Linked DNA regions of Oryzias latipes. The protein of the gene in region 1 interacts with the protein of each later gene in a pairwise test. Links are inferred from orthologs where the notes say so. Each region holds a gene or a part of one and is shown in the gene's direction. Other genes may lie near its edges.

Region 1 (4,083 bases):
CTATTTTTTAGCAATATTTCATTTGGGATTTACTTACAATGTTAGAGGCTGTATTATTGTGTTTTATTTTATTGTTTGACAAAAGTAAAAATAATACATTAAAAATTTTAAAAGAAAACGTAACAAAGTGCTTTTAATTTTACTTCCTCTTACTTCAAAACCTGGTCAAAAAAAGAGAGATAACACACTAATGTGAAAGTCAGCTACAGTCTCATTTTTGATGGGTTGTGTGGGTTTCCTGAGTGCTTCAGTTCCCACACCTGACAAGAGGGTATTGATGTTAAAGTATTTTAACTTTTTTTCAAAGTAAAATTTAAAAAAGGGGACGGGGGGTCGGGGTATTAAAAAAGAATTGGGGTAAAAAACAAGAAAAAACTTTTGCCCTATTACTTCAAAATCTTATGGGCCACAGATAGGAAGATATTAATGTTTATTAATCAAAAACAACTCTCCTCCGTGAACCGCCACCTTAACGTGGTGGGGCAGTTAGAGCCCGAGTGATCCCAGGAGCGAAGCTCCCAGGGGCTTAAGCCCCTGGTAGGGTCTCCCTTGGCAGACAAGTCCTGGGTGACGAGTCAGACAAAGAACGGTTTAGAATCCTCTTTTGAGAAGAAAAAACAAGGAATCAGTTACGTTGCTTGGATTGGTGTCACCAGGGCCCCACTCTGGAGACAGGCTCCGGTCGGGCCCTGCCCAAAGGAGTGACGTGGGACCACCCTCCCATGGGCCCACCACCTGTAGGAGAACACACGTGGAACACAATGTGGTTTGGGTGGCAGTCAAAGGCGGGTGCCTCGGCGGCCCAAACCCCGGTCATGGAACTTGGCTTTTGGGACATGGAACATCACCTCTCTGGGATGGAAGGAGCCTCAGCTTGTGCAAGAGGTTGAGAGGTACCGGCTAGATATAGTCGGGCTCACCTCCACACATACCCTGGGCTCTGAAATTCAGTCGTTCGAGAGGGGTTGTTTTGTTGTTGGACTACTGTGCTCGTCATAGTTTGTCCATTACGAACACCATGTTTGAGCACAAGGGTGTCCATCAATACACGTGGCATCAGGATACCCTAGGCAGGAGGTCAATGAGGTCAATCGGTAGGTAACTAAATACTTTTCGCCCCACTGTACAAATAAGTGTATAATGTGAGTCATCCCTGGTTCGATTCCCAACTTGGACCTTTCTGTGTGGGGTTTGCGGGTTCTCAAGATGGACTTGTCCTGTATTTTTTCATAGGGCCTTATTAGCATGGTCGCTGTTGTTGACACTCCAATCCAGAAGGTGGCAGTTAGACGTCAGAAAGTCCCCCTGCCTACTGGCTAAAGCTCTTCAAGAAGAAGAAGGAAGAAGAAGTAACTCTTAGGTCAATCTAGATTCTTACCTGGATAATCTCCATCTGAAGTCCAGACACAGCAGGTAGGCGCTTCCTCGTGTTTTCACCCCAGATTCACCATCAGGGCGGATTCATGCAGTTGTGGATAAACTGGGATCCTAAAGTCAGTCTTCTGTCTCCGCGATCTTCAGGATGAGAACACGTCACGCCACAGACACCAAGCTTCAGTGACTTCATGCGCAACCCCGGTCCGCTCCTAGAGCAAACTATACTAAACGAAGACCCGGTTTTGATTCCGGACCATGTCACACTAACGCGGTTCATCGCTTTGGTTTACGGTCAGAACGGTGCGGCCCGTTTAGATCTAAAGCTCGGATGTGTTAGCAGGCTAAAAATTAGCCAAGCTAAATAAAAGCTCGATCGAGTTTACATCAAACTTATTTGAACACAAACAAGGTTCACTCATTGATCTGAGTAAATCTGTTGGCTGTCTGGACCATTAACACCGAACTGCTTTACAAATCAGAACCGAGTTAAAAGATACCAGAACTGAGCTGCTAGAATGTTCTCCTGCTGTGGCTAAAGGAAAGCTAACATTCAGAGTGTGACTCCGCAATGTTTTGTTTTCATATGATTCCATACTCGGTCCAGTCTGTAACCCCAAACGTTAAACATAAATGTAAATACCTGAAAATTACGGCGAAAGCTGCTGGTTTAAACCAAAGAATATGCTAAGTAAGTTAGCTCCAGTAAAGACCCAAAAGTTATTAAACGTACCAAGCAATCGAAAAGTGATACTTTATTGAATAACAACAAAAGCTTTGGGGGTTTTGTTGCTTTTTTGCAGGGGGGGGGGGGGGGGGTAAATAAGTGCTTAACAAAAAATAAGCTAAATTGAAGAAATACAAGGTTTAAAGCCAAAAAGCTGAACGCTGGAAGTTTACGATTGGCTCTACTTAAGCAAGGTGTTAAAAATAAAAACTATTTCAAATCTAGGAACATTTTGAATATAAACGTAATTTGTAGTTTCCTAATATTTAAAGAGTAAATAACATTTCCAACGTGTGACAAGTTTGTTAATTTCGCAGCTTATTTTTAATTACTATAAACTAGGGGTGTAACAATTAATCAATGATTTATGTTCCTAAGATTCAACCAGGTGGATCTTTCTGAGGCAAGCTGTTAATCGAATCAAACTGACCTAAACCAATATTAAATCCTTTCAAAATCAGATCAATCGAATTGAAAATGGAAAATGCCATTGAGATTGAGACATGGTAGGTTTATTTGACTGTATAATGAAAATGAACAAGGGCATCAGTGGACAACACACATGTGATGTCAGCCAAAACGGATCTGTCCATCATTCCAGTCCAATGTGTGAAAACTTTTGAATTTATAAAGTCATGTGACCATCCAGTGTTCTAGAATGTTCTAAGAATGTTCCCTTTGGATCATTTGGATGTGGAAAAACAACAGTGGGCTGAACTTTAGGAAACTCAAATGTGAATGGATTTAACATTCATTCTAGTTTACTGGTTTGTTTGGACACAGATTTCATTTACACTTAATGATCTTGAAGAAATCCAAGAATCTGGAAAACTTCACTGTTCAGTAGCAGGAATTTCTGTCTGAGTCTCACTGCTGGAAGTTTGGATAAAGATGTTCTGAATCCATTTTAGATCAGTGAATCAGATCGTTCAAAATCAACCAATATCAACCACAAATACATGATATGATTCAAATCATTGTTAAAATAAATCGTTACTCCCCCATTTTGAACGTTGGACGTGAGACCACATACCTTTACGGAAGCATCTGATTGGTTTCAACTTTCATTACAGAAAAAAATGTAATGGGGGGGAAAAGTAGGATTATCAAGAACATGGTTATTCTGACAAATAGAATGACTAACAGCTGTTTAATTCTCTGTAATAGTCTTCTTTGGAACCAGTGGGTACTTCCTGTTTGGGATGCCAGGGGGGAGGGGGTCTCTCAGTCCAGTTTTCCTTTACAGTCAACTAACTGTCAGCAAAAAGAGAGGATTTGTGCCCAGTTTAGCTCAAACATACTTTCTGTCACCTCTTTAAAAAAATGATATCAGTGCATATTCTGAGCTGGAAGTTTGCCCAGCAGAAGTCACATCTCTCATGCGTGAAACCAAGTCTTTCGGCACAACAGGTGTAGTAAATCAGGCGGGTGGTGTCAGGTGACTGACTGGCTGTTGCTGATCTCCTCTGTTGCAGGAGTGCGTCTCCCTCATCGAGCGCTGGGACGTCTGAGCCTCCACCACCATGACAGACAACAAGCGTCTCGCCTACTCCATCATCCAGTTCCTCCACGATCAGCTGCAGTCCGGCGGTTTGTCCTCGGACGCTCAGGAGAGTTTGGAAGGTGATTCCTGCAGCTCTGCCACACCAGCCAGGATCTCAGGGTTTTACGCTGCAGTTTGAATGGTGACGGACCGGAGCGAGCAGCTCTGAGCCGTCATTGGATGGGTCCAAAGGGACGCAGTGCCGTAACTGTCCTAAAACACCAGACGATCTTATGAGAAAGGAGAAGCCAGCATTAGACCGTCTCATTGTGAAAAAACACACAAACACTGAAAAACAAAACTAAAAAATCACTTTATTTAGAAATAAACTGCACAGATTGAAACAGATTATTGACGGGGCTGTTTCACCCAAACGAGATGTTTTTAGGAACAGAAGAAGACAAAATAAAATGCAATGAAACAAGACGACTCAAATCAA
Region 2 (4,370 bases), on another chromosome or scaffold:
GAAATGGGGGATGAAGACTCCAAATCCTTTTAAACAAGACCATCAATTTCTGATAAAGCTCTCCCTCCTCACATATTGACTTGTTGCCAAATGACAAATTACTGTAAAGATGCCGGACAGATGCACTTTTGAAGGATGATTGCAGAGCTGAAGCGAAATGAAGCATAAGCCCTGGGGATCAATTTGCCTCGCAGTAAGTCAACAGGAGGCAATCATACGCAGAACTTTTCCTTCTTTCGGAGAGGAAATGTCCTTCTCATAAATATTTGGAGTTTTCTAATTGGAAGAATATGTGTGGCTTTAAACACTACCTTTTAAGGATTCTACACATCTTCCCACTGGCGCAGTGAAATGAGGATGTGCTTTCATGCACAGATTTGAAGAATATGTTTGCATTCACAGTGAAAGTCTGAGGAACATGGATGTTGTTTTAAGATGTACAGTAAAAGCCTGCATGGATCTAAGCCTACTGTTGTGTTGTAAGAACTAAAACTTGAATGATAAAGGCATAAAACAAATAGTAAATGAACAAAATTGAAGAGTAACAAAAGATGGATGAATCAAAAAAAATTTCATAAAAAATTGCTTTAATTATACATTCAAGTATAAATGCAAGAAGTTTGGCTTGTGGATTGCATAAAAGATGAAGTCTTAAAGATCTTCTTGGATGCGTTAATCGTAACGTTGGGACAGTGGCAGTGGAGCGATGGAAAAATAAAGCTTTGAAGATCTAAATCCTGTTTTTAATGAATTTATTGTATTTTTGCCAAACGTCTTACTATACTGCTGAATATTTCCATAAAAATGGTTTAAAGGTCAGATACCTGGTTTGGTGTTTTCTGAGTTTAGGTTAATTTCCCCCGTAGACACAAATCCTCTAGATAATTATCTGCGATGTCACACGCAGAATTCTGGAAAAATGTAGCCTGAAATGGGGCAGCCACATTGACCTGTGTTTACTCAACCCACCTCAGTGACACACCAAAAATGGGTGACTGAGTGGGCCAAAGTGATGGTATATGTTTTTTGTGAGTCCCCCTATCTGTCAGTTCAGCAAAGACATTAAAAACTACCTCTGACTTCGCATCATTTTTAGCTTTAAAACATCTTCTTAAACTCAAGAGTACCTAGCTGCAGACAAGATGGCGGCTGGAGCTCCACTCCTTGATGGAAACAGAAGTTGGTGATCTCCAAACAAAAGATGAGCTTCGTTTTATTTTATCTTGTTTTCATTTTAAATTTTTTTGGCTCTCTATTTTAGGTGACGTTGGAAAAGCAAACTGCGATGCAAATTAAAACTCAATAAGCTCATGTAATTGTGACTAGGTGCATGGAGTGGAGCTCCAACCGCCATCTTGTCTGCAGCTGGGTGCATCTCCTCAAACCAGTGTACCTGGTGTACCTGCAGGATTTCCAAATATTCAAGCCCTACTCATGACTGATTACCTGGTTCAGGTGTGTCCAGCCAGTTAGAACATGCCAGAGCAGAGTATGTTGGAAATCATGCAGAAATGCGACCCTCGAGGCCCGGGGTTGCTCATCCCTGGCATAGAGGTATGATTTCATTTGGATTTGGCACATGTCACAGTCTGACGTCAGGTAAAGGGATTAATATGTGCTGCAGAAATGTATCAGATATATCTTCAAAAATCCTATTATTTCCATAAAGTTAATGAATTCCAAGGCCATTCTGTTTTTCAAAGGGTTGACGTGTTAACTTGTAACTTCCTTACTTGTCCAGTAACAATCTTGAGGTTACTCAGTGTTGTTTTTGCTCAGAGCATTTATTCATGAACTAACATGGCCGGACAAAGACCTGCGATGGAGACCGGCGTTCTTTCTCTTTCCCAGAGGCAGGCAGACAGGCTGGAGCAGGAAAAAACCGGAGCTGCGCTCCTGTTTTCTGGAGTCTTCCTGTCCATGGTGGGGGTCACCTTCACTGTGATAGGTTGGCATCACTTCCGAACCAGCACCAGCTTTCAGTGGACCCAACTCCTGGGTCCCATCCTGATTTCAGTTGGAGGAACCTTCACGGTCACCAGCATTTGCAAATTTAGGTTAATCTCCTGTTGGTACTGCAAAGAGCAAGAGGAGGAGGTCTTTGTTGTTCCTATAAGGGAACCACCGTCAGGGAGACCTACCGTTGTGGTCCACGGCATCAATCAGCCGGTTATGGTGCAGGGCACCGCAACAATGGTGTGTATTCCACCAGTGTACAACTTCCTAACCCAGGAAGTCATTGAGGAGAATGAGGAGCAGCCTGGTAGCTCTGTGGGAGGCGTCCATGCGAGCCTCCCTTCATATGAGGATGTGTACTGTTTGGACAACGCAGCTTTTACCGCAGAAGGCGACGCAGAAGTGGGGTACAGAGGGAGTCGGTAAGAACTCGTCCAAAAACAAAACAAACAAAAAAAAAATGTGGTCAGCTGCTGCATGTATAATTGCTTCTCAGAGGTGCAGTTGCTGTTTTTTTTCTGTTTTCTTAGTCGATTAATTTAGAAAATAAGTTACTTTTGCTAGTAAAGGGACAACACGGATCCTTAAACCTGCCTTTCCTATGCTTTATCCTCACTGGAGTAATGGGATTTATTTGTATTTATAGATTGAATTTTAAACATATTTTAGCTTTGCTGAAAAGATTTTTCAGCAGATCAAGAATAATTGTGGGATTTTTGGCTTCCTGGAGCCAGTGGATACTGCCAGTTTGGAACGCATGGGGGGAGGGATCCCTTTGTCCAGTTCTTATATACACTTAATAGTCACATACCACTGTTCTTGTGACAATCCACTGTTCACAGTTTGCCATTAGAAATGACACACAAGTCTAAGTTCACTCTACCTCTTCTGCCATCTTTTCAGAGTCCCGTATTTTCCAAATAAAATGCCAGTTGCCATCTCTGTCTCACTTTTGTAAAACCAGATCTGCTGAAAACGGAAATGAGCAGAAGTTGAATGGATTTGAACTATAAAAAATCTAGACTTGTCTGGACTTTGGTCCATGATGCACTTCAGACCAGTTTTTTAAAGTTACAAATTCAAAGCAATTTAAAGTTTTGCAGCAACTGTTAGTGAAATCAGTCAATTATCAAGCCAGGATTGATGTTTGTTTTAAAATAAAGGTACAGAAGTTAAAGCAAGGAACAAGTACTGCAAAGATGCCTTTGTTTCATCCAATCACAGCGAGTTTGCAGGACCTTTTTCTAAAGTCACCTGGAAAATATTTCATTTTCTTAATTTACAGTTAAGATTTTCACCTGAAATATTGAATTTGACCAATCCTAATTACATGAAGAACAGCAGCCCTATACACTCACCTGCCACTTTGTTAGGCACACCTGTCCAACTGTTAAAACAAATTTCTAACCAGCCAATCACATAGCAGCAACTCAATGCATTTCGGCATATAGACATGGTCAAGATGATTTGCTGCAGTTCAAACTGAGCATCATAATGTGAAGAAAAGGTGATTGAAGTGACTTTGAACATGGCATGCTTGTTGTTGGTCTACTGAGATTTTTACCCACAACCATAAGGTTTACAGAGAATGGTCAGAAAAAGAGAAAAAAAATCCAGTGTGTGGCAGTTCTGTGGGCCGAAATGCCGCGTTGATGTCAGAGGTCAGAGAAGAAAATCCAGACTGGTTCCAGCTGATAGAAAGGCAACAGGAACTCAAAGAACCACTGGTTACAACGGAGGTCTGCAGAAGTGCACATGTCCAACCGCGAGGCAGATTGGCTACAAGAGCAGAAGAAAACACTGGGTGCCACTCCTGTTAGCTAAGAGCAGGAAACGAAGGCTACAATTCACACAGGATCACCAATACTGGACAATAGAAGATGGGAAAAACGTTGTTGGGTCTGATGGGTCTTCATTTCTGCTGCAACATTCAGATGGTAGGGTCAGAACAACATGGAAGGAATAGATCTATCCTGCCTTGTATCAACGCTTCAGGTTTATGGTGGGGGTATAAATGTGGGGGGATGTTTTCTTGGCACACTTTGTGCCCCTTAGTACCAATTGAGCATGGTTACAGCGCCACAACTTACATGAGTATCGTTGCTGACCATGTCCATCCTTTTGTGACCACATAGTACCATCTTCTGACGGCTACTTCCAGCAGAATGAGGATCCATGTCATAAAGCTGGAATCTGAGACTGGTTTCATGAATTTGACAATGAGTTCACTGGACTCAAATGGCCTCTACAGTCACCAGATCTCAACCCAATAGATCACCTTTGGGGTGTGGTGGAATGGCAGATTGACATCACGGATGTGCAGCCGGCAAATCTGCAGCAACTGCGTGATGCTGTCATGTCAATGTGTACCAAACTCTCTGAGGAATGTTTCCAGAACCTTGGTGAATCTATAC
Region 3 (4,525 bases), on another chromosome or scaffold:
TCCACGCAGGGGGAGGGATCCCTGAGTTCTCTGGCAAGACCAAGAGCCAGGGATCACATCACATCTGAGCCTGTGGGTGTCCGTGTCCCTGTGGTGTGGGTTCTGGTCCTGGCTCCTGGGGCGCGGGCCTTTTTCATATTTTCCAACTGCTGGTGAGCCTGGTCAGGCCATATTAAAACAGCCCTTGGGGACCCTCCTTCCTCTTGGGCGTCCTCCTCCTGGGGGGGGTCTCTGCCTTGCTCTCTCCTGGACTAACCGTGGCCTGGGGGCAGGGGGCTGCCTGGAGCGTGGGGGCGGGTCTCCAGCTATCATTTGTTTGCCCAGCTGTCAGACAGGACAAGTGAAAAAAAAAAAAAAAACAATAATGGATTTCACATAAATCACAGAGAGACTAAATGTGCGTTTATTAACATCACATGTACATCAGTTGATCCATCTCCTCACAGAACCCCATTTTTCCTGGGCGTCCAACAAAAAACACAACAAATAAAATCAATGTAATAATAAATAAAGTTTAGCCTAATTTAAAAAAGGTGTTTATACAAATATATACCTTAGTTAGAAAGAAAAAAAAAATCACGTTAATTACATTAACATGATTCCTTTTTTTCTTTTGAAACTCAGTTTAAAACATTCATGCCCTGCAAAATTTGGGCAAATATCTCCAAAGTTTTCTCATATTTTGAAATTCTGTTTTTGTGGGTTTCACGAACAGTAATTTAAATGAATAAATACTTCAAATCAATTAAATATTTTGACCTGAGTCTATATTCTATGAAAGTTTATTTCTTTCAATGGAATAGTGGAAAAGAGAACACTTTTCCATTACATCCAACTATTTTGGAAAGGGTATGTATTATAAGTCGTTTTTATTTATCACCACAGTCAGAAGTATATGCATGTGGCTTTTGTAATATATTATCTATTATTAACTTAATAATAAAAAAAAACGATTTAAGTTTTTAGTGTTTTAGTTTTTTAGTGTTTTATTTTTTAAACTTTCTAAATACTTTTTAGACTATTTCCCTGTACAATTTTACTCAGACACCAGAGGTCAGTGTTTCATAAATGTTAAATGTGGTCTTTCTTCCAGCTTCTTCTTTGTTGCAGTATTAGGTTGGAATTGGATGGTCTTCATAGGGTCAAAATTAAAAATGTTAATGAGAGCATTGCCTAAGAATCTTTCTGGTTAACATATTTAACCCACAGAAACACCTTCTGGGGCTAAATGGGTTAAGGGATCTAAATAGGTTGGATGTTTAATAAAATACAGTTTTTTCAAGCAATCTGTACGTATAATCTCTAACAGATAAGTGCTCACATTAACATAGACAGAAAACAAATATGTTCATTCCCTGACCGTCAATCAGTGAAATTGGCAGGTCTGTTGTGCTGCTTCACCAGGGCTTCTCAGCCAGCCTTCGTCACCGCTGCGTCAGCGCTGATGAGCTCAGCGTTTGTCAGGAGGGGATCGAGGAGGGGGAGGGGACAGAAGGGTGGATGGGAGAGAGACTGCAAAAACAAGCGGACAAAAAAGCTGGAGAGGGAGAGAAAGAGAGGATAGGGGTGTTGCCGCCTCTGAGACACTCATCACTGAGTAACAGCAGCAGAGTGGGAACACAGCTTCCTTCTCTTTGGATATCACAAGGCTTTAATTTTCTTGTTATTAAATTTTTATTTAAGAAAAAATATTCTGCTGTAATATTCAACACCCTTTAAGAAAGAAACAGCTGGAGATTCAGCTGAAGAGGAGAGCTCATTGTAGACCCTTTCAGGACCTTGGACAGCGATAATGGCTCCAATGATGGAGAGCGGAGCTGAGCCCGGTGAGTCCATCCAACACACTCACGCTTCATCCTTTGCATGATGTGATTTAATGCGAAGGGACACCACCTGGTGTGGATGGATGAGTAGGCTGGTGTTGGGTTCCTCATTACTCAGAGATGCTAGAAATGTGTTGTTGGAAAGAGTTTTTTTTTAATTCACCAAATTAAGAGGTTTTGCATTTAAGTTTTTATTTCATTTGTTCATTCACAGTCAATTATGCACAATATTTTCAGTTAAAAGTGTTTGATTTCCCTTACTCTAGTCAAAACCTCCTGCTATCTCCAGTTTGCAATGATCTTAGAGGTGTCAATTAATCAGCAGGACACTAATCCGTTGGGTGGAGGTTGGGCTACATTGCATAGAACATCAATAGTTGACAAAGTGGAGTTATAATTGTCTTCTGGGTTCAACAAAAGCAGACAGGCATCAATATAATTAAAAAAAAAGCCTGGAAATACCCACCGTTTCATGTCCTCACTCTTTAGCAGTTCCTTCACAGCCCCCCCGTAGCGTCAGCCATCTGTCGTTCCAGCCTTGAACACCATTCCACCCAGGGCACCAGCATGAAATATATATAAGCAGAAAGGAGGAAAACATTATGTAGAAGTGCTGTGATTTAAAAGTGATAGGAGTTCAACATTCCTCACATCGCCCTCTTACATAATAATGAGAAGCAATAAAAAAAGATTATCGCTGCATTTAAAGGGAAAACTGAGGCATAACATGCAAATGACATCTTCAATGGTACATTAGAAAATGGCACAGTATATAGCCTTAGTGTTGACATGGACGTCACAGATTGTGTGAGTTGAATGGGAAAAATAACACATTAGCTTTGATCACGTGAACGACATGAGTGATCGCTCACTGCCACTGCTTTTTGACATTTTGATGGGTTTGTAGACGTGGCTGATCGGTCCTCTTGATGGTCTGTTTCCTCTCTTAATTGAAACCCATTAGATCTGGCAGCAGGATTGTTGTTGAGTCAAAGTTCAGCACGATGAAAGAAAAAAAAAGGCATTCAACAGTGTTCATATAATGTTTCTATAAGCATACCACAATACGTTTAATAGTAGACAGTTAATCTCATAATGTCATTATGGAAATTTTCCACAATTAACGCCCAAAAATCTACATCTCCTCAACAAAATATCATATTCTTTTCATGATTAGATGGTATTCAGGTATTTAGACTACTAAATCAAGTGGTAACTGTCTACATTATCATACCTGTAAAATCCTTGATAAATTGGCTGCTTATGGCTTTATGCGGTTTTCCCAACAGCTCTTTACTAATACCAGCTGTTTCCTGTTTGGAAATGAATCCGGTAATTGGGCTGAACAGATCGCATTGTGTTTTACTCCTTCTGACTCAAGGCTGCAGCTTGCGTCAGCCTCAGATACAAAATGGATGAAGTTGCTTCAGTACAAGTGCAGAAGGAAATGTTTCAGTTGACGGGTGTAAACAGATGCCTACATGCCACAACGATTGTCAAGAGTTATCTACTTTTTCTAACAAACTGCTGTCCTTGTCCTTGTCTGCTCCCCTCCACAGTGGCAGTACCGGTGGGCGTTGCCGTAGTGAGTGTTTTTGGCCTCGTCTTCACTGTGTCAGCCTTCACTTGGATCTGCTGCCAGCGCAAAAACACCAAATCCCAAAAGACGCCCCCATACAAGTTTGTGCACATGCTCAAAGGGGTAGACATCTACCCGGAAAGCCTGAGTGGCAAGAAGAAGTTTGCCGCAGCTGCCACCACAACAGTCAATGACGCCGGTAAAACAGATGTCAACGGAAACTGCCACACCACGCCAATGAGTCCATCAAGCACCAGTAAACTTGCAACAAGCCCAAACGGTTCCAGGCCGGCTCTGCATTTGGACCTTGAGAAGCGGGATCTCAATGGCAATTTTACCACCAAACCTTTTCACCACCACCATCAGAAGGTGAGGTGCTCTCCAGATCTGGAGCTGCCCTCTCCACACGCAGGGTTTACCCAACCTGGTGCGATGGACCGCCATGACCTCCCTTCACCATTCAGCAACCTCTCCAGCCAGGCACCAACTCCAGGTGTGGAGAGAGCTCATGTGGAGGAGAAGGAGAATGGCCTGGGTACTCTCCACTTTTCCCTTGAATACCAACAAGAAAAGAAGGCATTCATTGTTCACATCAAGGTAATGTAAAGGGTCTAAACCTTTGGTATAATTGTTTTAGCTTGTATGCATTCTATTTAATCTCTGGTGGTTTATGCTACTTTCTTATACAGGAGGCCAATGGTCTATCTCCAACGGATGAACAGTCCCTCACCTCTGACCCCTATATCAAGCTAACTCTGCTCCCAGAAAAAAAGCACCGAGTGAAAACCAGAGTCCTTCGAAAGACCCTTGACCCCTCTTTCGACGAAACCTTCAGTTTCTACGGGATCTCTTTGTCCCGAGTGACGGAATTGTCCCTTCACTTCATGGTGCTGAGCTTTGACCGCTTCTCCCGTGACGAAGTCATCGGAGAGACCCTCGTTCCTTTGTCTGGGATCGACTTGTCAGAGGGACGCGTGCTAATGAGCCGAGAGATTATCAAGAGGAACATCAAGGTACGATCTCACACAAATGTTTCAGCCACTTTTGGTTTTCCGTAAGACAATTTATCTTCACAGTTTCTTGAGGACAAAGCCATAGAGAATATGTTGTAGTCTTTACTGCA
Region 4 (4,444 bases), on another chromosome or scaffold:
TAACGTGTTTTGTCTGAAATATAATCAATCAGATAGATTCTAAAAGTGAGATTTAATACTGACAAGAGTGTTTTGTGGGTGGTTGAGCATGACATGGAATGGAATCAAACAGACATGAAGAAACTCCAAGTAAAATCCCATCTGGTCCTGTCAACTCTTTCTAAAGTTGCTTCATTTAAGGTGACGCTAAACTTTCACTGGATTATTGTTGGTAATAATGTTCACTAACATCACAGCATGTTTGAAGAAAAATGACTGAGAATATTAGAGATATTGACATTATACTGTAATTCATCCTCCCTCATAGTCATAGTATAACATTTGAACCATCCAAAATACTCCTTTATCAAAAGGTGACACAAAACTTTCACTGGATTATGGTTAATAATGATGTTCATGATCATCCCAGCAAGTTTGAAGAAAAATGACTGGAGAATATTAGAGAAATTAAAGTTATAGTTCTCCTAAGCATCCAGCCTTTGTGGTTAAAGTAAAACATTTGAACCATCCAAAATACTCCTTTATCAAAAGGTGATGCAAAATTTTCACTGGATTATGGTTAGTACTGATGTTCGCGATCATCTTAGCAAGTTTGAAGAAATTTGACTGAAGAAAATTGCAGATATTGACATTATAGTACACCTATAAGCGGCCTGCCTTTAGTTAAATTATTACGGATTACCTATTCAAAATGCACATTTATCAAAAGGTGACGCAAAACTTTCACTTGATTAATGTTAGTAATGTTGTTCATGATCATCACAGCAATGTTGAAGAGGAATGACTGTAGAAAAATACAGATATTGACATTATAGACCAATTCTGGTCTCCTCATTCACAGTCGGAGTATAACATGTTTATAAACCTCAATATAAGGTAAATACACGGTTAGAGTATGTTTTTGCAGTCATTTTTCTTCAAACCTGCTGTGATGATCAAGAACATCATTAACAACCATAATCCAGTGAAAGTTTTGCGTCACCTTTTGATAAAGTGGTATTTTGGATGGTTCAAATGTTATACTATGACTATGTATGAGGGAGGATGAATTAGACTACAATGTCAATATCTCTAATATTCTCCAGTCATTTTTCATCAGCCTTGCTGTCATGTTAGTGAACGTCATTATCAACAATAATACAATGAAAATTTTGCGTCACCTCAATTGAAGCAACTTTAGAAAGAGTTGACAGGACCAGATGTGATTTTACTTGGAGTTTCTTCATTTCTGTTTGATTCCATTCCATGTCATGCTCAACCACCCACAAAACACTCTTGTCAGTGTTGAATCTCACTTTTAGAATCTGTCTGATTGATTATATTTAAGACATAACACATTATTTCTGGTAGTTTATTATGGAATGAACAGACATGCAATCCAAATGAATGCATTTGTACATTGAATAACGATACAGGGCATGCATTAATTTCAGAGTACAGTACATGTCATTTCTATAAATGGTTACTGTGACATGGGTGATATCAGCGCTTTATGCCGTCTTTCCAGCTCGCTGGACGTGTGTACCGTAAACTATGATGTAAACGCGCATGCTGGCGTGACCGCACTTCCACAGATGTCGGCTCACTTGACCGCGGTATTAGAGGAGTCTGACTTTCGATTTCCATTTTTGCTATAAATAGGTAAGCCAGCTAAGTATCAAGTGTTATTACTGGACTTTTGGCATTCTAATGTATTTATTTTCATTAAAGTAGACTGTTCCATCTTTTTATAATCCATAAATAAAATGCACTTGTGGACTGACCCATTTCGGTCGCTTTAACCGTAAAGTATTTGATCCGTTCCGTCCCCGTGCGGACTTGGTACAGACCGTGGTGGTTGTTGTTGTTGCAATCAGCTGATCGCTCACAGCTGAGCTTTGCTCTCCATGTCAGTCGGGAGCGGCGGCTCTTCTAAACTAAAGAAAGGTCTTCTGGACGGTGATTTTCGGGTAAGGACCGCTGCAGAGCCTCGGAAGCTGGGAAAGAGGGTGAATTTCTGAGCCTCAAAGCATTTTGTGAAACGGCGTCGAGTCTGTCGACACAGAGCATCACAGCCTGCTAGCTAGTTCCTCCGCGTCGTCATTGGTGATGTGGCTGTTCCAATGAAGTTATACCCCCCGAATATATGAAAAATATATGCGTTTCCTGTTTGTTTGTTTTTCTTAGAAATTTTCAGCTTTTCCTCGGCTGCATAACAGTGCTTGATTGAAACGCTTTCAAAGGCTAAAAAGGTAAACGACAGCATCAAATAAATGAAAGAAAATGGCAAAGATGTGCTTAAAAACAATGTTTCGTGATTCTTTGATCAGAACAGGAAACCAGTCCAAACATCAGAGTGGGCCATGGCTCCAACACTGGTAAGCAAGTTGATTCTACTTTCTTCTTCAGAGAAATTGTTTGCCTGGTTTGAAACTGTATTTTTAATTCAATACATTGATTTTATGATTTTCCTTAAAAAAGTTATTTGTTTTAATTTTTCCTCATATAAAGACAGTAATTAAAGAGGAAATGCATAATTCTATGAAGTAAAGATTCCCATTTGTAAAGTCTAAATAGGCTGTGTAATCATCTAATTTAAAAAAATAATAATCCAAGGAAACCAAATTAGAATTTACATTTTAGGCCTTTTTCTTTCTCTCTACGGAAAATAACAAGCTGTCAGGAGGGTCTGTGTTTTGCTGTTTTAGAGGAAGTTTGTTGCAGTTTTTTCAGTTCTACATTTAATCAAACTTGTCGTGAACCTTTTTACAAAATTAAAGCATAAATTTAACTCGTACAAAGCATCATTAAAACACTCAAATTGTAAGCATACAGTGAGGAAATAAGTTCTCACAGACTGCCAGGGAGTTGAATCGGGTGAAAGTTTTTCAGAGTGTTGAAAGTGTTATGTTGTCATTATGAAACACATTTTTCTGTCCTGCTCTTAATCCCAGTACGATGTGAAACCCGAGCCGGGAGACTTGATTGAGATCGACCGTGGCTCTTATCAACACTGGGCTGTGTACGTTGGCGATGGCTTCGTTGTTCACATGGCGCCGCCCTGTGAGTGTCCAAACAGGATTCACGGAGCTTATGTCCCAAATATCAATCTGGAACAAAGAGTGTTCGATGAAACAAACTGAATTTAAATAGTTTTGAATATCAAGTTGTGCATGAAAGGCTATGAGAGAATAGCATTTTTCTTCTTCTTTTGTGATTGTGTATTAGTTGAGACTCCAGGTGCTCGTTCCAACAGCATCATGTCTGTCCTAACGGAGAAGGCTATGGTGAAGAAAGAGGAGCTCTGGGAGGTTGTGGGAACAGATCAGTGGAAGATCAGCAACAGTCTGGATGAAGAGTACGAGCCCCGGCCGGCTCCAGTTATTGTGGCAGATGCCTGCTTGCTGGTGGGCCAGGAGCGACCATACTGTGTCTTCACGGGGAACTGTGAGCATTTCGTCAATGAGCTGCGCTACGGAAAAGCTGAGTCCCGACAGGTTGGTGGAAACACTCGAACTTTTCTAATACAAACCTCTTTTTTAAAACCATTAGCGATAGAGAAAGAGTGGTGAGTTTAAAGACCCACTTCAATGAAAATTGTGTTTTTTGTTTTGTTTTTTGTTGTTTGTAACCAACGCCAATGGCTGCACGGTGGCGCAGTGGTTAGCGCTCCTGCCTCACAGCAAGAAGGCCCCCGGTTCAAGCCCTGGCTGGGGGGACCTGAAACAGAACATCAATGGGGGGCCTTTCTGTGTGGCGTTTACATGTTCTGTGTGGATTTTCTCTGGGGTCTCCGGCTTCCTCCCACCGTCCAAAAATATCCTTCATAGGTTAATTGGAAACTCTAAATTGTACATAGGTGTGAATGGGTGTGTGATTGAGGACATTCTACCCTGCGACAGACTGGCGAACTGTCCAGGGTGTCCCCTGCCTTCGCCCACAAGTGGCCGGGATAGGCTCCAGCAGCCCCGTGACCCAGAAAGGGATAAAACGGCAGAAGATGAATGTTGATTTTTGAAATGTTCTTGTGGCAATTTCCAGCTATTAAAAAAATTCACTTTACGCCGTGGTGCAGCGGCAGGGCGGTCGACCTCTGATCATAAATTGCAGGTTTGATTCCCACCTTGACCGCTCATGTGTCAATGTTTCCTTGGGAAAGACACTGAACCCCACCTTGCCTCTGGTGGAAGGTTGGCACCAGTGATTGGCAGCAGAGCTGCCACCAGCGTGTAAATGTGTTTGAATGGGTTTGGGACTGTAAAGCGCTTTGGGCTTTCAGAGAAGGTAGAAAAGCCATTTTTGTTGAAGTGCAAGCTAAATTAAAGTAGTTTTTGAGCCAAAGTGGTTTGATGCATTTTTGCATCCGTAACCAAAAAGGGGTTAAACAAAAACTTGCATCAGACACAAATTGCGTTTAAAAGTTTAGTGTAAAGTCCATTACTGTGCAATTCTGAGGAAAACTTCT
Region 5 (3,783 bases), on another chromosome or scaffold:
AACTATCAAATCAATATTTGAAGGACATCTAACAACCTGTTTAAATGGAAAATGGATTATCAAATTAGACAAAAAGGGTTAAATACACCTAAAAATACCTTTTGACTGCAACAACAAAAAGGCTATCGTAAACTGTGAAGTGGAAACACAAAAATGACTCTTACCATGTTGTCTGGTGACGACATCTGGTGCTATTCTTTAACTGTCATTGTTGACCTTTTAGGAAAGAAGGAGCGCAAGTCAGAATGTGGGGACTGGCAGTGGAGCGTTTGCGTGGCCAATGAGGGTGACTGTGGACTTGGCACTAGAGAGGGAACGCGTACCGGCACCGACTGCAAGCAGACCATCAAGACCCAACGCTGCAAGATCCCGTGCAACTGGAAGAAAAAGTTCGGGGGTGAGAAAGGCCACCACACTGACCTTTGTGTGCCAACAAGAACCACATAAGAAAAATCTAAAAATGCTAACCTTTCAAAAGTATTTTAATCAGCTATTTTCCAAAAAGTCTCGGTTCCAAAGAGTCCTCGTGCTTATATGCACCAGTTATCTCGTCACACCTCCTCATGACCTATTGTTGAATGCCATCTGCGGAAACAATGGCACCAATTTTACAACGGGAATACATTAGCAGACTAGTAAGAGGTACAAAGAAAATATCTGCAGAGAATATGATACATTGTGATGGAAAACACAGAAATCCCCCTCCTGCATCGTCAGTGAAACAATTTTCACCTCGAGAGCACCAAATATGCATCTTTTTTTTGATAGTCTATGTTTTTTAGTACATTTCTTACCATACAGGAAATTAACGGCTAAATTATAAACCCTATACACGTTCAACACGATTTCTTTAGCTTTTTGGGCTGCAATATGTCAAACTCACATACTGTATGTGCAAGTTCCCGCAATGACAGGCTTTTGTTCCTACATCACAGCTTGTTAAGCAGGAGCCTCCTGCTTGCAATAAAACTGCCATAAATGATCTCTTTGAGGAGGTAATGCATCTGCTAACTAAACACATTTTTGCACCATTCTTGTACCAAAAGTTCTGAAATTGAAGCAACAAGTGAAATGCTTTTAGACTTTGGAGTGTGGAGGGGTCACGGAGATAAAAACAAAAAAAGGAGACGAATGAGCCCTTCTTGTGTTTAAAAGATCCAGACAGAGGAACATCTCCACTATCTGGGGAAATTACAACAGCGGCAACAATGTTGGAATGTGGAGCAATTTCAATCCCACACCTGCGAGTGTTTGCAAACTGCTTCCTCCACTGGAAGACTTTCATCACGGTAAAATGTTTCCACAAACAGACGGGCGTATTTACACTTTCCTGAAACACTCAAAGCAGTCTTTGTTGCGGCAACTGCTGCAGGTGTCTTCTCTAGGACCATATGTTCCTCCAAAACAACAAAAGATTTCCAGTGCAGCTTTGCCAAATGATAAAAGCGAGCACATTAGACGGATGTAAATAAAAACAGATGATACTAGCTCTGCAACTTTGGTTAGAAAGTGATTCATATCCGCCACGAAACAATGAATGCACAGTAAATGAAACAAAAACAAAAAAAAACAAGTAAAATTCAGTCTGGAATTCAATAAATAATTCATTTTTTCAGTTAACTTTTCATAAATTTCATACATGCAGTCTTAATTACCATCTTAATTCTGTTCAGGGTCACATGGTTGCTGAACCCTGAAAAGGTTGTTAGTCCTTTGTTGTGTAGCTTAAAGCTTTGCATGTTGAGTGCTTCTTTTTCCACTACAATATACGAGTTTATACTGATGTCGTTAATGACAAATATTAAGAAATCATCAATATAAGCTTCTTTAAGCATAGCAGAAATAATAGTAAACAACAAAAGTTGTTTCTTAAGTATTTATCTATGATGAGAGGTCTTCCTGTCTTTAAATAATGTTTTGTTCTCTCATCATCATCATCATCATCATCATCATAATCATCATCATCATCATCAGCCTGTCACGCCACTGCTGGCGGAAGGCCTCCACATCTTACTCCACTCATCACGGTTTTGGGCACTCTGGGTCCACGTGCTGCCTGCCATCTGCTCGATGTCATCTCTCCATCTTTTCTTTGGTCTTCCCCTTCCTCTCTTCCTGTCCCACGGAGTCCATTCTGTTGTTTTCTTAGCCCATTCGTGGTTCTTCATTCGGGCTACATGTCCTGCCCACTTGCCTTTGGCTTCAATCACTTTCTCGATGACATCCTTCACCCCTGTCCTTGATCTTAAGTCTTCGTTCCTGACCTTATCTCTCCTCGTAACACCCAGCATTGATCGTTCCATGCTCCTATGGGTGATTGCCAGTTTCTCTCTTTGGCAGTTGGTAAGTGACCATGTATCAGCTCCATATGTCATTGATGTCAGTATGACATTGTTCATGATCTTCCTCTTGAGACACATGGGCATTTTTTGATCTCTCAGAAACGTACTGTACCGTCCGAATCTCTTCCAAGCGGTTGTTACTCTCTCGTCTATTTCTTTCGCCATCTCATTTCCTGGTGTTAGCAGTCTTCCCAAATACTTACACTCATCCACCTCCTCCAGTTGTTCTCCATCTGCAATTATTCCTTTCCTTCTCCTCTTCCTTGCTATTTCATTGCACATGATTTTGGTTTTCTTTTTGTTCATGCCATCTTTTCTCCCTTCCTTGTTCAGATCGTTGAGCAGCTTGCTGAGATTTTGTTCTCTCATAAGTGCAAAAATCAAATTTTGCACCAATTTGTTTTCCAATATTAAAAAGATTGTAACTCAACTGAGTGTGACCAAATTGAAGTCTTGACAATACCCTCCACTCTTGCCTTTATGACTCTTATCCCATTTCCTCAACAAATTTTCATAATTAACTTGAACATGACAAAACAGGACTTCAGGGAACAAGAAAAAACAGGAAAAGCATATGACCCGAAAAGGAAAATCTGAAAAAACAGATACTTAAACACACGGAGGATCATTACCACAAATCAAGACAGCTGTAGACGATTGGCAATCTACATCTGGTGTGACTGACAGGCATAACCTGAAAACAGAACATGACAAGAACTAAGAAACTAAAACGGACAACCAAATGGTACAATCCAACTTTATACATTATACACAGTTTAGGAGTGGCTGTGACATTTTTATAGATACCAGCTCATGAAGGACTTGCAGGAAATGAATGAATGTGAATGTGAGACTAAATAAAGCAAAATTAAAAGGCTTATTCAAAGGCAAAGTAATATTCAACGCATTTTGAAAGGTAAACCAGGTCGAACTCGAATTTGGTAGTTATGTGTAGATGGCACGGAAAGGCCAACCGTTTGAAAATTAAACATGGAGGAGAAATGAATAATCGCGGTTTGTGCCAGGTTGGAATATTATGACAGTAAGTGAGTCAAATGTTGGAATAGAACTGTAAAAGAAAAAAGAAAAAGCCTGGTGCCAGATTCGCAGGATTTGCATTTCGTAAACATTTCGCACCACACCTCTTCTAACTTGTGTACATGCGCTGGTATCAGGTAGAGACAGTCAAGTGTGAACACCATGGGTTAAATGCATGTACACATAAGCACGTTTGGCGCATTCTTGTCACATGCTTGGTGTGTCCATGGCTTGATCTACACTCCAGACTGAGTGGTGGCGGTGATGCACCACAAAGCTGTTTGCTAACGGCCAAAAAACCACAGAAAGAAAAGGCACAATCTTTTTATTTCTATTTTTAATATTTATAATAATATTCACTTTGATTATACAGGTTATGATGTCTTTTCCTGAATTTGGTTCC
Region 6 (4,277 bases), on another chromosome or scaffold:
GGCCCATCGTAAAACAGGAGGCAGCACAGTCCTAGATGAGCCGGCACTGCCTCTGCAGAGAGACGTGGTGCTCAACAAAGACTATTTTCGCAGACAGGAAAAAGAAAGGCGGAGCAAAGAGGGGACAGCTGTGTAAAGGCTACTGATGTTTCAATCTCAGGGGGCCACAACTCTTTCTGAGCTGCTTTAAGATTAGGCTCCATCCTGGACAAGAGTGTAATGCCATAGTGAGTGTATGTGTGTTTGAATTTGACTGATTTGCTAAATAAAAAAATGGGAATAAATTGTTTTGTAATAAGGTATCTTTTATAAACAAAAATGGAAAGATACACAAAAAAATAAAAGTAAAAATTTTAAGGACCGTAATAACAAAGTTGTTGTGAGTCCGTATTTGGGCTTTTAAAGAAAACTTGCCAAAATAGACAACGTCTTAATATTCAGATTAAAGGTAGATGGTTTAATAATTTGATATGTTTGCTTGAGTGTTAATTAAGTAATGTGTTGTGATGTGTCTTCTTTTTCCTGAAAGAACAATGGTTTGCAACTCTTTAATGGTAAAACAGCTATTTGGTCCAGTTTCTGTCATGTCTGTACTTATCTTACAGACATAAAATATAATTCGGGACACTCTGTAGGTTCAATCTGTTTGGTTTTATTCCTCAGTTGCTCTTCAACATACATTCCAGTGAATCATCAACTCTTCTTTGTGCTCTCCCCACATCATTACCTTCATGTTCTACCAACTAGTGCCCTCTTCTGGTCATTTCTAATATTACAGTTTCCTACTAACCAATCTTTGTTTAGAAAAAAACACTTTGTTTTTGTGACCATTATGCCACTTAAACACTATACTTACTTATATTGTGTACCTTTTAAATATTTACAATAATGAAATTATTGTAATTTTCCATAATTTTACTTCCCTTCAAAATAAAATACACCCTTTGACAAAAGGGATCCTACTGCAGCAGCAAATTTACCTAAATTAAAAATGCAAGAAAGTCAAAACAAACATGGCATTTTCTATCATAACTTTTGTGCACCATGATCCTTTTTTCCTATTACTATCTAATATAAACAACATTATTGAAGAATCATTTTAAATAAATTATCTTATTCTAATAATACATTAATATTTGTTATTAATGAATTTTCTGTGATCAAACATGTTTAAATTCTAAATATATATGATAAAATGTAATTAACTTATATAAATTAACTACAGACTCTTCTTTTTGTGCACATTTGTGGTTCCATACATCTTTGCGGCGCCACGTGCTCTCACCTTGGCGGCGTTACTCCGTTACTTAGCAACGTTCCTCCTCGCACCTGCGTGCTTTCATTCAGACGGATAAGTTGTGCTCTGTCTTCCAGTGACGATGATTTGCCTGTTTCTGACCATCATATCCTACATTTTTCAGTCAGGTTGGTAATATTTGACTTTCCGTGTGGTCCACATTCAGTCGCTTTGAGTCAAACGGATGGAATGACGTCTATTTTTAGAGGATGCTGGGAGACGGCTCTTCGGCAAACTCCACGCAGTCGGATAAATCTGTAAAATGGTGTTTATGGGACTTCTATATACTAAACATGACAATAATAAGAGTGTTGAATTTGAACTGTTATTAAAAACGACTAACTTTTTCCATAACAGTAACAGAGTTGGCGCGTGCAGGTTAGCTTCTGTGACAGTAACCCCCGCTCCTCCTCCTCCTCCTGCAAAAGTTGATTCATTATCCTATTAGCTCGTGTATTACCGTGCTGCCATTGTGTGCAGCCTGGTAGTGTGGAAAAGCTGCTGCAAGTGGAGCACCGCAATGAGGCCGAAAAAGAGGTCACAGCTCGACCTGCAGGAGGTGGAGAGGTTGGCGCAGAAACACGCAAAGATCGATGAATTCGGTGAGGCGCGCCAGAGAGAGAGAGAGACAGAGAGCCGCTTCCAGATCCGAAGGCTGCCGCCAGCACTTTTTATCTATTTTTTTGCTGCCGTGCTTATCTTTCGTGTCTACAACCTGAGGCTTAATCTGAGTTGCTGATAGTTTAAAGTTGTGTTCCAGGTTGGACCGGAGTGAATGAGCGCACCTTCATCGCCGTGAAACCGGACGGCGTGCAGCGGAAGCTGGTGGGGGAGATCGTGCGTCGCTTTGAGAAGAAAGGATTTAAGCTGGTGGGCCTCAAACTTGTGCGGGTGAGTCTGATGATACATTCAGATACACGATGACGATGACCTTTTTTTTTTAAATCCAAGTAAAAGACCTGTCATATGATATGGAGCCCTGATCATGATCTTAAAACAACTTTCCCTCTTAGTAATTTGTGGCCACTGTTAAATTTTTTATGGCCACAAAATTAGGAGTAGAAAGTATACTAAAGTATTAATTTGTACACACAAAAATGTTAATTTGTGCCAACAAAATGCTCATTTGAGCCCTCAATAAAGTTAATTTTTGCACACATAATGTTAATTTGTCTCCCCATATACTACTTTGTCTCCATAAAATGCTAATTTGTGCTAACAAAATATTAATGTGTGCCCTAAACATGCTATTTGGGTACACATAATGCTAATTTGTACCATCAAAATCTTAATTTATCCCCACAAAATACTAATATGTGCACACAATGCTAATTTGTGCCCAACAATTACTATTTTCTATTCTTTCATACATTCATTTATTTTCTAATCCGTTTTGTCCCTTTCGGGGTCACGGGCTGCCGGAGCCTATCCCGACCACTTTTGGGTGAAGGCAGGGGACATCCTGGACAGATCGGCAGTCTGTCGCAGGGCCATTTTCTATCCACAAAATGCTAATATGTGCCATCAAATGATTAATTTGAGCACAAATAATTCTAATTTTTGCCCCAAAATGATTCATTTGTACCCAAAAAATGCTAATTTGTGCAGACAATTACTAATTTCTGTCCACAAAATGCTAATTTGTGCACACATAATACTAATTTAAGCCCATAAAATACAAAGTTATATGCACGAAATACCAAATTGTGTACACAAAATTGTTTAAATTATTGAATTATTGTTTTTTAATGTCATGTCCAGCGCTCTATAATTTTATAAACTAATCAGATGTTATTATGGTTTGCATTCAGGCATCAGAGGACATTCTTAGGGAACACTACTGGGATCTGAGGACTAAGCCCTTCTACAACAGACTAATAAGCTACATGAGCTCAGGACCAGTTGTTGCAATGGTGAGATGTCCAGTCCGTTACTTACAGCCAAATGATCCTAAAGGACATCTGTAATATATAAGGAAAAAAATCCTCCTGCAACACAAATACACTCTTTTCAGTCAAAATTGATGGTGTGTTTTGAATGTTTATTAGTATTTTAGCGTGCAATCACTGTATTAAAAACCAAAGTATCATATAGTCGTGTACATTTCTGTGTTTGTTTAGGTCTGGCAGGGCTTGGAGGTGGTCAAGACTGCACGCAAGATGTTGGGAGAGACCAACCCTGCTGAGTCACTGCCAGGAACCATACGAGGAGATTTCTGTGTGGAAGTGGGCAAGTAAGAGCTATTCCACTCAATCTGGGATTAAACCTTTAGAAAAGAAAGGCACTTGTTTGTTAATTTGACCAGAAATGGGCTTGTTTTCCAACTAAAATAGCACTATCCCCAAAGAAATATAAATGATTGCAACCATTTTGACAATATCACCTTTTTGTATGAATGTTTTGAAATGTTGTTTACATTATTTTACTTTTTTTTTTTTTGACAAAGTGAAGTTTTACCTCCTGAATGTCTCTGCTGGGTCTGTGTCACAGGAACGTAATCCACGGCAGTGACTCGGTGGAGAGCGCACAGAGGGAAATCTCTCTGTGGTTCGGTCCGAAGGAACTTCACCGCTGGAAGAGCAGCAGCAGCCAGTGGATCTACTGACACACGCTGTGTAGAAACCATTCCCTGGCTTTAAATAAGAGCAATATCGTTGAAGTGGTGATCACACCTCAGATAAATTTGACTTTAGTGCTTTTTGTAGCTAAACAGTAGTAGAAAGCCTAATTCTGCCTTTCTGCACTACACTATTTAATAGAGTTAGGTTCAAAGTAAAATCAATCAAAAAAATTTAGCCTTTTCTAAGTTTAAATTACTACATTTGCTAAAAAAATTTTTTAAACAAATTTGTTTTTAGAATAGAAATTTGTCAAATAAATCCAATTCAGTGGTTTGGCAGCAGTACTATTGATTTATAGACTGAACAATGACTCTTAGAAACCTTTAAAGTCTCCCTTTAAGCATATCCAACATGATAAA
Region 7 (3,783 bases), on another chromosome or scaffold:
GCGGCACACTAGTGTGCCGTGGGAGATGGTCAGGTGTGCCGTGAGAAATTGCCCTCATTAACTGATCTAAAAACAATTACCATCTCCAGGAAATCAGCTCTTTGTTCATCCAAACAGGTCCTGATAAAACACTGAGAAGTTAAGAATATGAAATATCATAAAATTATTTTTTCTTTGTGTTTATATGATTCTATTAAAGACATTTTGATAAGAATAACGGGATACCGCGATTTAGCTGCAGCTATAACTGTGTAAGGAAAAGTCCCGCCCCTTTAACTGTCTCCACCAATCATTCTTGAAGGCTTAATCACATGTCATCAGTCTGACCAATCAGAAGTGGTTTGAGTATTCACTTCCTTGTTTCGATTTAGCGCAAAAAAGTCTCTCTGTTCTAACAAAAATACCAGCTAAAGCTCGTCTTTAGCGGTGTAGCTTTCCACAGAATCTGGTATCAGACTTGAACAAGTGAACAAAACCATGAAGCTCAAAGACGCTGGTCTTTCTGCGGTCGGCGGATTACGGGTACTACATCTCCCATGATGCAGTAAAGTGACTGTCTTAGCGCACAATGAGTCTCTCCTCTCAACGTCTTAAAACAACGAACACACATCAAACAGTTTTTGAATCTTTTGACTGAATTTTTAATACATCTTTTAGAAAAAACAGCTGCAGCTTCCAGCGTTTTCTGCAACAATTATCACAAAAATGCATGTGAGATTGCAGAGCGGCGGTAGATCAATAAAGACTGAGCCTTTTCTTTATTTTTTATTTATCTATTTTTTTGGATGCTGGTGTGCCGCGGGATTTTTGTCAAGGTTAAAGTGTGCCGTGGCTGAAAAAAGGTTGAAAAACACTGCTTTAGAAGAAGCATTTTGAAAGACCTTTCAACAAAAAAACAAAAAATAAAAACCTTGAAAGACCTTTAAAAATGCTCTTAAAACACGATTTGAACCATCGCTGCATGTAAACCCAAACCTGTGAATTTACACACTGAAAAACTTCAACCTTCATTTTATGTCACAGATTATTTTATATCCTTGAGTCTGTGATTATAAAATGAAACCCTATTTAAAATAAAGTCCTATATAATTCTCTGGACTGTTAATTACTGTCAGGATGATTGAGGGACAATTAGAAAAATAAACATTTTACGACTTTTCCTAAAGAAAACATAAAAAGAGTTCATGTTTCCATGGAGACGAAACGCCACGAGGCTACAGAAATCATCCTTTGGGTCATTATGACCCATGAACTAGAAAAACATTTGAACACAAGAAATGAGTTAAAAGGCCACACAAACACACACACACTCTAATCCAGATACACACACTCACACAAACAAACACACAGAGTCTAAGCAGCATTTTGTTGTTTTGCGGGATGATTAAAGGGTTTTTATAATTCACTTCATGAAGAATATGAAAACGGAAGGAAATTCCAGATTGAGAACTTTTTTTTCCAGTTTTCAGTTTAATTAAATCAGAAATAAGCTTAAAAGGGATTTTGTGTTGAGTAACAGAAAATATGATAAAAAAAAGTAACATGTTGTTTCAACAATAGATTTTACATTTTAAAATTCAATGAAGTTGCTTCATTTTGGGGGCTGTGGTGGAGTGGTTCTGTTTTGACCCGTAGGACAAGGGAAGCCGATGGAATCTCAAAATCACAACGGGTCATTCTGACACCAAACATCTTATTGTGAAAAACCTCAGAGGTGTGTCTGCTAACGTGTCACGTCACACTGTGCACGTTTGGCACGCCAGAAGGACCACGGCTGTCCAATTCCCTGCATTCCTCTTTGATTCCGGATGTCATTCCCGCCGCCGTCGCCTTCTGAGGTCACGTCTCTGCTGTGCGGCGCTGCTCTGGATTGCTGGCAGACCAGTTTTAACTTCCTGGACGACTGTCTTCCGTTTGTTTCCTAACACACTTTTGGTTTTTTGAAGTGGATAGATGTGTCCTTTAAGGGTCAGTGTTAGGGTTAACCCTACTGCTTTCTTTTCCAAACGGCGTGTCTGCTGTCACATGTAGATGTAGCTTCCACACGCGTGTACTGGTGGTAGTTTTCGCCAAAGTTACAGGGTCAAACCAGGATCAACGTAGAATGAAGGAAATGGGAGAACGTCATCACTGCTATTGACTGTAAATGAGAACTGGACTGAGAGACTCCTCCCTCTTGGCGTTCCAAACAGGAAGTGGCTCCAAGAAGCCAAAATGCCACAGACGTCTATAGAGAAATAAACCGCTGTCAGTCAGAAGAACCATTCTGGATCTGAGACTTTTTTTTCTTGATAATCCTAATTTTTGTTTCATGATCATTTTTCTGCTGTTCAAATTATAAACTGACCTGATTGGAAAGAGTGGTTGCCATAGAAACGTCGACTTGGACCAATCACTGGTTACATCCGGTTCAGAGATGGCGGCGTCCCCATCGTAAAAAAACATGAAAAGCATCACATAAAGCATAAGTGAATCAAAACACGAAACACAATAAAAACCTGAAGGTAAAAAGTTGGTTTTTCAAAATAAAAGCGGAAAATACAATATTGCCTTTAGGAAACTTTTTCTATTAAATGTGGAGTTTTGAGATGAACTGAAAAGGATCAAACCAAAGCAGTTGGGACTTTTGTACATCCGTGTCTGCTTGTATCGCCGTTTCCAAACCGTCTGTTGATGTCTTTACGCAGGAGGCCGCCGCCATTGAGAGTGTGGGGCCCGTGGACGACGGCACGGAGAGCCTGGGCGACGCCCCCAGTCTCTCTGAGGAAGTAGCAGGTATTTATCCACACACAGGCTGATTGTGGAGCCCGCACTGACCGTCCAGATCCCACTCTGATCCCCCATCTTCCTGTAGGAGCGGCGGCTGAGTTCAAGCCGGCTGACATCGCCGTGGAAACGGTGCTTTCTGAAGAAGGCCATCAGGTAGGTGGTTCGGTCAGACGTCTGCTCTGGCCCTGCAGGGCTGTGAGAACAAGAACAGAGATCTCTCATCCCCAACCGGGACATTCATTCCTGTAGCGTTCAAGGACAGACGGAACTCCAGAGGAACGTCTACGGCCCGGACGCTTTCTGAGCTGCTGAGGGAAAGACGTTAGCCACACCCACTTCAAATGTTCAGCCAATCACACGATAGACTAGACATGACGGATAGGAAAAGCTCTAAGTGGAACCCAGTTCTGCAAACACATCATCATAAAATGTATTTTAACAATTCAGGGTTGTTTTCTCCAAAGAATCCAGAATTGTTTGTCAGCAGACGAGGAAGAAAAGGCTGTTCACTCAGAGTGGGCGGAGTCAAAACACCTGAACTTCACCTGAATCAGTAACTCCGGTACATTAACTCAGGTAATCTGTCTGCCGTCACCAGGTGTGTCAAGAGACCTCCCCCGAGTCCAGCGAGGGTCCCATCCCGTCTAGTCCCGCCCGCATGAGCCCTCGCCCTAGCACCCCCCTTGACCCCCCCGACCTGGACTTGGAGAGTCAGCCTCCGGTCATTCACGACATCGTAACCACCTCCCCCAGTGACAACGAGCACCTGGGGGGCGTGTCTTTTGTCACCAACATTGATTTGAGCGCTCCCCTCGATGTTCCAGAGGTTGAAGTTTCCTCAGTGGAAACTGAGCTGCTGTCCTTGGCTCCGCCCACAGCGGAATGCTCCGCCCCTGCCGAGGTCGACACATCTGCCGACTCCGGTTCGATTCCCTCAAGTGACGTTGGGGAGACGCCTGACCGCACAGCTGAACCTGACCCCCCCACAGAGACTATCACAGCCACCAGCTCTTT

What was found.
Region 2: the proteins of sgta (region 1) and tmem174 interact in binary tests that used the Homo sapiens proteins (3 or more experiments, as listed by UniProt). The two-hybrid records come from large-scale screens. The link is inferred for Oryzias latipes from reciprocal best matches to the Homo sapiens genes SGTA and TMEM174.
Region 3: the proteins of sgta (region 1) and syt4 interact in binary tests that used the Homo sapiens proteins (3 or more experiments, as listed by UniProt). The two-hybrid records come from large-scale screens. The link is inferred for Oryzias latipes from reciprocal best matches to the Homo sapiens genes SGTA and SYT4.
Region 4: the proteins of sgta (region 1) and HRAS-like suppressor 3 interact in binary tests that used the Homo sapiens proteins (3 or more experiments, as listed by UniProt). The two-hybrid records come from large-scale screens. The link is inferred for Oryzias latipes from reciprocal best matches to the Homo sapiens genes SGTA and PLAAT4.
Region 5: the proteins of sgta (region 1) and ptn interact in a two-hybrid assay, tested with the Homo sapiens proteins (2 studies listed by BioGRID and IntAct). The link is inferred for Oryzias latipes from reciprocal best matches to the Homo sapiens genes SGTA and PTN.
Region 6: the proteins of sgta (region 1) and nme3 interact in binary tests that used the Homo sapiens proteins (3 or more experiments, as listed by UniProt). The two-hybrid records come from large-scale screens. The link is inferred for Oryzias latipes from reciprocal best matches to the Homo sapiens genes SGTA and NME3.
Region 7: the proteins of sgta (region 1) and pre-B-cell leukemia transcription factor-interacting protein 1 interact in binary tests that used the Homo sapiens proteins (3 or more experiments, as listed by UniProt). The two-hybrid records come from large-scale screens. The link is inferred for Oryzias latipes from reciprocal best matches to the Homo sapiens genes SGTA and PBXIP1.

Annotation. Positions count from the first base shown.
Region 1 is NC_019862.2:5,200,670-5,204,752, forward strand, and holds the start of sgta (small glutamine-rich tetratricopeptide repeat-containing protein alpha), read left to right. Parts: upstream 1-1,283; 5' UTR 1,284-1,413; intron 1,414-1,654; exon of another isoform or gene 1,655-1,677; intron 1,678-3,576; 5' UTR 3,577-3,624; coding exon 3,625-3,724; intron 3,725-4,083. UniProt on the Homo sapiens protein: Co-chaperone that binds misfolded and hydrophobic patches-containing client proteins in the cytosol. Mediates their targeting to the endoplasmic reticulum but also regulates their sorting to the proteasome when targeting fails.
Region 2 is NC_019870.2:5,378,565-5,382,934, forward strand, and holds the start of tmem174 (transmembrane protein 174), read left to right. Parts: upstream 1-1,508; 5' UTR 1,509-1,800; coding exon 1,801-2,378; intron 2,379-4,370. UniProt on the Homo sapiens protein: Regulator of plasma phosphate homeostasis. Decreases serum inorganic phosphate (Pi) uptake by regulating the sodium-phosphate cotransporter SLC34A1 trafficking by PTH and FGF23 in the kidney.
Region 3 is NC_019876.2:7,930,993-7,935,517, reverse strand, and holds the start of syt4 (synaptotagmin-4), read left to right. Parts: upstream 1-1,557; 5' UTR 1,558-1,792; coding exon 1,793-1,826; intron 1,827-2,289; exon of another isoform or gene 2,290-3,362; intron 3,363-3,382; coding exon 3,383-3,999; intron 4,000-4,091; coding exon 4,092-4,415; intron 4,416-4,525. UniProt on the Homo sapiens protein: Synaptotagmin family member which does not bind Ca(2+). Involved in neuronal dense core vesicles (DCVs) mobility through its interaction with KIF1A.
Region 4 is NC_019868.2:12,341,787-12,346,230, reverse strand, and holds the start of HRAS-like suppressor 3, read left to right. Parts: upstream 1-1,527; 5' UTR 1,528-1,641; intron 1,642-1,815; exon of another isoform or gene 1,816-1,988; intron 1,989-2,066; exon of another isoform or gene 2,067-2,085; intron 2,086-2,166; 5' UTR 2,167-2,231; intron 2,232-2,309; 5' UTR 2,310-2,342; coding exon 2,343-2,357; intron 2,358-2,933; coding exon 2,934-3,042; intron 3,043-3,207; coding exon 3,208-3,476; intron 3,477-4,444. UniProt on the Homo sapiens protein: Exhibits both phospholipase A1/2 and acyltransferase activities. Shows phospholipase A1 (PLA1) and A2 (PLA2), catalyzing the calcium-independent release of fatty acids from the sn-1 or sn-2 position of glycerophospholipids.
Region 5 is NC_019881.2:18,741,300-18,745,082, reverse strand, and holds part of ptn (pleiotrophin), read left to right. Parts: intron 1-223; coding exon 224-397; intron 398-3,783.
Region 6 is NC_019866.2:14,621,964-14,626,240, reverse strand, and holds the start of nme3 (nucleoside diphosphate kinase 3), read left to right. Parts: upstream 1-1,319; 5' UTR 1,320-1,379; coding exon of another isoform or gene 1,380-1,425; intron 1,426-1,777; 5' UTR 1,778-1,817; coding exon 1,818-1,899; intron 1,900-2,057; coding exon 2,058-2,188; intron 2,189-3,108; coding exon 3,109-3,210; intron 3,211-3,417; coding exon 3,418-3,530; intron 3,531-3,787; coding exon 3,788-3,902; 3' UTR 3,903-4,277. Other genes in the region: mrps34 (28S ribosomal protein S34, mitochondrial), read left to right, coding at 1-136. UniProt on the Homo sapiens protein: Catalyzes the phosphorylation of ribonucleosides and deoxyribonucleoside diphosphates, other than ATP, into the corresponding triphosphates with ATP as the major phosphate donor.
Region 7 is NC_019869.2:888,093-891,875, reverse strand, and holds part of pre-B-cell leukemia transcription factor-interacting protein 1, read left to right. Parts: intron 1-1,363; exon of another isoform or gene 1,364-2,227; intron 2,228-2,347; exon of another isoform or gene 2,348-2,687; coding exon 2,688-2,775; intron 2,776-2,854; coding exon 2,855-2,922; intron 2,923-3,367; coding exon 3,368-3,783. UniProt on the Homo sapiens protein: Regulator of pre-B-cell leukemia transcription factors (BPXs) function. Inhibits the binding of PBX1-HOX complex to DNA and blocks the transcriptional activity of E2A-PBX1.